Linked DNA regions of Danio rerio. The protein of the gene in region 1 purifies or fractionates together with the protein of each later gene. This does not show direct contact. Links are inferred from orthologs where the notes say so. Each region holds a gene or a part of one and is shown on either strand. Other genes may lie near its edges. The genes, in order: ndufaf5 and ndufaf8.

Region 1 (3,832 bases):
CATACCAGGATAATTGACCTGAACTTCATCAATGTCCTGCAACACAACAATGAGCCTGGATATAATCACACGAAGCAGATAAAAGGCTTTAAAATATAGTGTCTAATACTGCGTTCACACCAGATGCGTCAAGGAAGCGTAAAAGTCGAGTAATTTACATGTTAAGTCAATGCAATGACGCAAATAGACATCCTACAGCGCAATACGTGCAAATGAGGCAGTGCGAATGATGCGATTTGCGCGAATAAAGCGGTGCGAGTTGAGAGTTTTGCACGATTGACGCGCTTAACGAATCGCTCAAGTTTGAAAATCTGAACTTCAGCGGACATTCGTGCCGCGTTAACCAATCAGGAGCTTTCTCTTGTGGGGGAGTGATTATGATGTAGTGCCTGCTGTTGGTGTCCCGGAGTAAAAGTTGCTCCGGGGTAGAAGTTGCTCAGTCAGAAGCAACACTGAAAGCCTCCATCCTCCAGCTTAAGTTTTTGGAGGAGTTTATGAGCTCACAGAGCTGGGTGCACCTCTGAAAGATCTAGTGGACTCAGACACTGCTCCAAACGAATCGACGCTGTTTTTCAGCTTTAATAAAGCACATAAAACAGCTATTCTCTCAATAAAAGCCATGTTAGCCTTTTAGCCACCAAGCTAGTGTCACCGGGCAGACAGAAGCCCTGCTCATCAAGCAAATCCACCATACCTACCAACACTCCCATTTTTCCGGGGAGTCTCCTTTATTTCAGACCCATCTCCCGTTTTGAAAACTCCTGGAATTTCAACCCCCTAACCCCCGTTCCTCAGCTTTTTGCTTTTTTGTACAGTCCCCTGATCGCCGACCTTGGTAGGACAGACCAAGGACCCCATTCTTCAGTTTGGGAACACCCCAATCCCCCCTCTGATCTTCAATTCACTAATCCCCCCCCTTCTAATGTTCGCAAATCCACCCCCCCTGCCACCCGGTGTTCCGGATTTTCAGAGACAATTGTTGGCAGGTATGGAAATCTGTGATGATTTTTTAGTGCATTTGACCTTCGGATGAAGCGAGCAAACTCATAAAATGTTCACTCGTCTATTTACGTGTGAATAGCACAATTTATCCGCGCGTTCTGTGTCTGGTGTGAGCACAGCATAAATCTGCCGCTATGTTGATGCATAGCGTGTTTGTAACTCCATCCCTATTTGAAATGTGGGCTGGGAGCACAATCTCATTTGAATTTAAAGCAACAGGCACCAAACGGCACAACTTGGATCAAAGCCTGAATGGGTGAGTTTCAGAGAGCTATAAAACAGTATTAGTGTGGTATTTTGACATGAAACTTCACACTCTAGGGAGTTCAGAGACTTATTTTACATTTTGTAAAAAAGGATGTAATAGGGCCCCTTTATATTTACCACAGTGAGCATGTTGAATCCGGCCTGTCCCAGCAGGTTGCCCAGGTCAGTGACGGCAGTATACGGTGAGATGTGTGGCGCAAACCCGCCCTCCCTCTCCAGCTCCGCCAACTGCAGAGAACAGCGCAGCTCGTACAGCGTCTCACCGCCGACCATCGCTCCGATGAACACACCATCCGGCTTCAACACCTGGTGAATCTGAACACAACACAAGTCCATTCATTCATTTCATTTTCACCATAGCAGAATGAACCGTCAACTTATCCAGCATATGTTTCACGCATCAGATGCCCTTCCAGCTGCAACCCATCACTGGGAAACATCTATACACACTCATTTACACACACACCACAGACAATTTAGCTTCACTCAGTGGCTCAGTGGTTAGCACTTGCGCCTCACAGCAAAAAGGTCACTGCTTCGAGTCCCGGCTGGGTCAGTTTGCATTTCTGTGTGGAGTTTGCATCTTCTCCCCATGTTGGCGTGGGTTTCCCCCACAGTCCCAAGACATGTGGTATAGGTGAATTAGATGAACTAAATTGGCCGTGGTGTATGAGTGTGTATGGGTGTTTCTTAGTACTTAGTTCTAGGTGGAAAGGCATTCGCCGCGTAAAACATATGCTGGAATAGTTGGCGGTTCATTCCGCTGTGGTGACCCCTAATAAATAAAGGGGCTAAGGCAAAGATGAATGAATGATATATAGCGCTACTCATACCTGTCGCAGGGCTCCGGGAAGGTCGTTGATCCAGTGCATACTGAGGAGACAAATAAGGGTTTGTAAATAACAGCTCATTCCTAAATTTCCCCATCATGCACTGGGGTGGTGTGGTACCTCAGGCTGCTGAGCACTAGGTCAAATGTGTTTTCTTTAAAGGGCAGGAACTCCTCGTCTGCCATCACACACTGAGCGGGAATATCACTTTTCTTCCTGTTCCTCTGGAGAGAAAAAAAAAAGCAAGAAAATCTCAGTCATATACAGGTAAAGTCAGAATTATTAGCCCTCCTGTGAATTTTCTTTTAAAGATATTTCCCAAATGATGTTTAACAGAGCAAGACATTTTTCACAGTATTTCCTATAATATTTTTTCTTCTGGAGAAAGTATTATTTGTTTTATTTCAGCTAGAATAAAAGCAGTTTTTATTTATTTTTTTAACCATTTTAATAAAATTATTAGCCCCTTTAAGCTATATTTTTCTTCAATTGTCTACAAAACAAACCATCATTATACAGTGACTTGCCTAATTACCCTAACCTGCCAAATTAAGCCTTTACATGTCACTTTAAGCTAAATACCAGCATCTTGAACTAGCATCATGTCCAAATAAAAGTATTAATTTCTTACAAAAACATCCTGCTGACCCCAAACTTTTGACTGTTAGAATGGGCATAATAACGCAGTTATAATGCACATATTTACAGTATTTTGCATTTGCAAATAAAACAAAGCAACAAGAAGTCTCTTACCAGGGACGAGCTTGAAATGTCTGTTAGAAAGAGACGTTCGACAACCTCCTGAAATGAGAGAGAATCCGTGTTACCATAAGACGCGTTTAATTTAGGAATATAACTTTAAAAATTCTGCTGAAAAACACAAAAAAAGATGTGCACGCTGCTCTTTTCAATAAAGTGAAGATTACAAGCTTCTCATGACTCAAATTACTTTTTTTCTGCACGAAAATATGGATTAAATAATGGATACTTGCCAGACTAAGAACAGTTTTACCTTACTCAAATGCTCTGCGATGTGGCTCCTTCCACATCCTACATCCAGAGCCAGAGGGAAAGTCCTGTAATGACATTCAAAAATGTATGTTTTGTTATTGTTTACTGGAACTCATGTTTTCGCTGCAAAACCCACAGTACTATTCTTATTCTGGTGAAAACTAATAGGAGATATTAGTCAGAATTCCAAAGCTTCTGTTACAATGAAAGTGAACGGAGTCTAGAGCTGTTGAAATCCCCCGAAATAACTTCCAATTCAACTATTCATCACACAGAACTATTGGATGACATACAGTAGTATACATTATTGCCATGTCTGCAGGAAATTTGACGTATTGCATTGATTATATTTAGCTGGAATAGTTGCTTTTAAATATTTCACTCTACCCGATTAAATTTCTATTAATGATTAGTTTTAATTGCTAATATGTGACCCTGGACGGCGAAGCAGTGGCGCAGTAGGTAGTGCTGTTGCAACACAGCAAGAAGGTCGCTGGTTCGATCCTCGGCTCAGTTGGCCATTCTGTGTAGAGTTAGCATGTTCTCCCTGTGTTCGTGTGGGTTTCCGCCGGGTGCTCCGGTTTCCCTTACAGTCCAAAGACATGCGGTACAGGTGAATTGGGTAGGCTAAATTGTCCGTAGTGAATGAGTGTGTGTGTGGGGTTTCCCAGGGATGGGTTGCAGCTGGAAGGGCATCCGCTGCATAAAAAAAAAGCTGGATA
Region 2 (4,382 bases), on another chromosome or scaffold:
TGAGGTGGCTCGGGCATCTGTTTCGGATGCCTCCTGCATGCCTATCTAGGGAGGTGTTCTAGGCATGTCCCACAGGGAGGAGGCCTAGAAGAAGACCCAGGACATGCTGGAGGGACTATATCTCCTGGCTGGCCTGGAAACACCTCAGGATCACCTGAGGATCCCCTCAGAGGAGCAGGAGGAATGTCAGAATAGAAAGAAGTCTGAGGTTCTCTCCTAAGACTGCTGCCCCCGCTACCCGGCCCCAGAAAAATGAATGAAAATGAGATGAGAAATGGGGATGGACAAGTTATTTTATTTTAAAACTGTAACTGCAGAAAACGCCCAGCAGTACACACCAGAAGAAATAATAAACCCTAATTCATCTACTGATTATATATTTTTTTATAAAGCTATTAATAACAATATCAGTAAAAATGAGCATTTATCAACCAATACTAATTATTACTATTAATTATAAATACGAATTACTTTCTGAATCCTCTTACATTTTCAGTACAGTCAGTACCCATACCATAAATGTTCTATGGCAATACTGAGGTTACTTTAATGTAACGTAGAGTATTAATATGACACTAATGTAACAAACAGTTTTAGTATTACCCTGGTTTTACCACAGACCATTTGCACTTGTGTCATTACTATGGTACATGTCAAAAATACCATAGTAGTAAGTACCACAACACTGTCCAAAACACCATGGCATATTTGATTGTACATTTCCAGCGTCTACAAACATAAATATCAATCATTTGTACATGTAAACAGTGTAGTGACCACATATATCGCCAGATATTGAATAAACAACGTAAGGAATGACGTTTGGCGATAGCGACAGCTGAAATGACGTTATTTTGCCCGGTGTCGCGGATACGTACTTTTTGTAGGAAGACCAACCGTTCCAGTATTGAAACCATGATGGAGCAGTCTGTGTTTTTTCGCCTGGCTGTGTACCATTTCTCAGAGGGCGGATGACCGTGCAGGTCCTGCCTGCGAGAATCTCCGCACAAACCACAGGAAACCTCAGTTTAGCTCAGACACTCTCGTTTGACACAGCGAGGTCAGAGTTGTGAGTCGACTCTTTTAGTTGAATCAGTTCGACTAGGTTGCTTATTTAAAATGAGCTGTTCAATGGAACCGATTCACTGACATGAACCGTAGATACTAAAATGCACGTGACTAAACGCGGACGTGAAACTGGGGTGGATTTCGTGAACATCCTGAAAAAGTCTTTGAAGTCTGCGTCCTTGCTATTGGCTGCTCACCATACGTAGAAAACTATGACCAATCATAAACCAGCGACATGTTTTCTGGTTCAGAAGTAGCGCTGTGATTGACCAGATTCTCCTCAGTGGGAGGGTTTACACGCGCTGTCTCAGAGGTCACCAGCATGGCGCTGTCCATGTTCAATATACACTCTGCTTACATCTCCATGACTTTTGTGAATAACTGACTGACACAGTGATTTAAAATGATTTAATCCTAGCAAAATTCGATTCTGCTGGTCCATAAAAGGATTATTTATTTCTTGAACTATGTCGGGTTCAAATGTTTGGACTCGCAGCAGAGCGAGAATGAGACTCTTCCCAGAGCTGATGGCTCAGTGCTCAGGAGAGGTACATTTACATTTATTTATTTATATATATATATATATATATATATATATATATATATATATATATATATATATATATATATTTATTTATTTATTTATTTATGCACATGTACACTGTAAATACACACAAACACACAATTTGACAACTTCCCTGTGTGTTTGAATTAAAAAAAAATGGCCTGCACAATACACGTTTTAAGTTAAGAAATCGATAATTGGTGGAATAATGATCATTATTTTCAATCACACCAAATAACTTAATTTCTTATTTGACCAATTGTAATTTTCTGAAAACAAATTCTCTAAATAACAGTTGTTGTTTTAATATATAACCAATGTTATCAAACCTTTACTGAATAAAACAAATAATAACATTTCACTCAAACCCACACCTAATAAACAAATCCTGAAAAATAAAATATTATATTAAACTAAATTATGTTAATAGGCCACTGCTTATGGGAAATGTGTAGCCGCCACAACCACTGGCAAACAGGAGCTGACCAGAAACATGTGCGTCAAAGAATTTGAAGCACTGAAAAGCTGTTTTCAATCTGCTGTGAGTGATTTCCTTTCTTACATTTTCTTCTTTTGTATTACTATCGAGCAAGATAATAACTGTGTTTCATTCATGACATGGCTAATCATAAACTATATATATATATATATATATATATATATATATATATATATATATATATATATATATATATATATATATATATATTAGTGGTGTATTGGATCCCAAATCTAAGGATTCGGATCACATCGTTTTTTAGTCATGGATTGGACCATTTTTTCTGATCAGCCAAGAAGGGGAGACAAATGTAATTTGCTTCCCATTTATTACAAAAACAGCACTGCAAGACACTTTTGGTTTTAACAAACAAAACTCAGAACCTATAATTTTATTAAAAATATAATGAAGAAATAATCAGCTGAATAAAAATAAATTGTAAAATATTCAGTACTGTGAACAATTCAGTTTCTACTACTGTTGCTGATGACTCTAAAAGTATAAATCTAACATTATAATTCGGACAATCCATATTTATTTTTAGTCTAATTTTCGAATAATGATTCAGTTATTCACTTGTAAATCTTCATGTTTCATTGCTGGATGCATCATTTTTGAAGAATTACTGAGTGGCATATTATTGATGCCTGGTTGTCGCCACCTATTGATTTAAATAATGTAATTGCTGCCTACAACTTTCATTTTTGAGCGTCATTAATGATGGTGATTTTAATCTCTACCATAAACATCAGTGATTTTATCCAAACTTTAAACTGTTATTCCAGTACTTCGGTGTTATTTTACTGTTTGAAACTAACTCAAAGACTAAATACTCAATCTCTTTCTTGATTTTCGCGTTTTCAGATTTGAATGCAGCTATTCGAATGAATATATGCAAATCACCATTATTTATAATAAATATTGCGTGGGTGTTAAGATCCCGATCTTTCAATGATTAATCGTGCAGCTTACACTGAATGCATCGATGCAGGCTAAACATGAAGTGACAGAAAACACTTTTAATAAACTGAAAAACCCACCACATCCCGAATAACCCACCACAACTTAGTCCATCTTCGTTATATTTTACAGAAAAGCCTAAATGCTTTCATACATGTGATTTGAATGACGTGAGACGCTAGATCTCTCTGTGATAATTTAAAATTTTGGATTAATCTACCAGTAAAAAACACATTAATCCATGGATCATGTGTGTTCCGAACCGTGTGTTGTGATCCTTATGAATCACGGATTAACTGTGATCTGTTACACCCCTAATATTTAAATATGACATGTTTAGGATGATGCTGTTTTTTAAACGTGTTTTGATATGTTATTTTGATTATACAAGTTATTTGAATCAATAAAGTTGCTCTACTGCCATTTTAGATGCTATGTATTTATATATATCATAAACTTAATCTGATACAGATGTCAAAATGGGACAATAACTAATTGTTTCTCATTTTTTGCAGGCGAAAAAAGCAGTAAAGTGAAGAATATTATGTTGGAGATTATTATAATTTCCCAGTGAACCATTTCTCTGTTAATATGCATGACTGTACTGTACAATAATGTCTCAAAACAATAACTCCATTGTGTACAAATCTATAATAAAGTCTCTTTTTTATATATAAAATCTCTAATAATAATGTTTTTTCTTCAGACATAGAACATAACATACAGAGGCAGTTTGGCCTGAATTATTTCACCGTCTGCATCCATTACCCTCCCCTTTCCACAAATCAATATACCAGAATGAGGATAAAAGAGCCTGACTAATGATAAGCAGACATTCGCTGTTGTTCAGAGTGTGTAATTGATGAGGGAGAAATGAGATATGAGGTGCTACATGATGGGTGGTCATTATGACGCTCTTGACCGTCACACGATTCCACCTTCAAATCTGGACTCGCTCCTAAAATCCAAAATGGCGGTTTTAGGGGGTTTGTTTCCAATCAAACAAAAGCCGGCCGAAACATGAAAGGCCGACTGATTAATGTGTATCCGTGGGGTGTACGTCAATGGCACCACAAAAGATTATGGGCTCCTAGTCGTCTCGTATGGAATGTAAAGCCGTGCCACTGTTAAATACACCCTTCCTGCGCAACCTGAACCCTCATTAGCCACATGTTAATTGATAGAAGGGCCATAAAAGCAGCAACTAATGACTGGGGATCAACAAACAATTCAAGCAGCCAATTAGAGGGACGGATCGGGTATTAAAAAACTGTTGCCAGAAAAGCAGTG

What was found.
Region 2: the proteins of ndufaf5 (region 1) and ndufaf8 purify together in Homo sapiens (affinity purification with mass spectrometry; 3 studies listed by BioGRID and IntAct, counting the BioPlex papers as one, with this or other methods). This does not show direct contact. The link is inferred for Danio rerio from reciprocal best matches to the Homo sapiens genes NDUFAF5 and NDUFAF8.

The regions. Positions count from the first base shown.
Region 1 is NC_133176.1:54,544,035-54,547,866, reverse strand, and holds part of ndufaf5 (arginine-hydroxylase NDUFAF5, mitochondrial precursor), read right to left. Parts: intron 3,176-3,832; coding exon 3,112-3,175; intron 2,901-3,111; coding exon 2,853-2,900; intron 2,324-2,852; coding exon 2,220-2,323; intron 2,143-2,219; coding exon 2,103-2,142; intron 1,585-2,102; coding exon 1,387-1,584; intron 37-1,386; coding exon 1-36. UniProt on the Homo sapiens protein: Arginine hydroxylase that mediates hydroxylation of 'Arg-111' of NDUFS7 and is involved in the assembly of mitochondrial NADH:ubiquinone oxidoreductase complex (complex I, MT-ND1) at early stages. May also have methyltransferase activity.
Region 2 is NC_133187.1:36,733,407-36,737,788, reverse strand, and holds ndufaf8 (NADH dehydrogenase [ubiquinone] 1 alpha subcomplex assembly factor 8), read left to right. Parts: upstream 1-1,359; 5' UTR 1,360-1,535; coding exon 1,536-1,616; intron 1,617-2,063; coding exon 2,064-2,174; intron 2,175-3,607; coding exon 3,608-3,628; 3' UTR 3,629-3,771; downstream 3,772-4,382. Other genes in the region: AP-4 complex accessory subunit tepsin, read right to left, coding at 879-917. UniProt on the Homo sapiens protein: Involved in the assembly of mitochondrial NADH:ubiquinone oxidoreductase complex (complex I, MT-ND1). Required to stabilize NDUFAF5.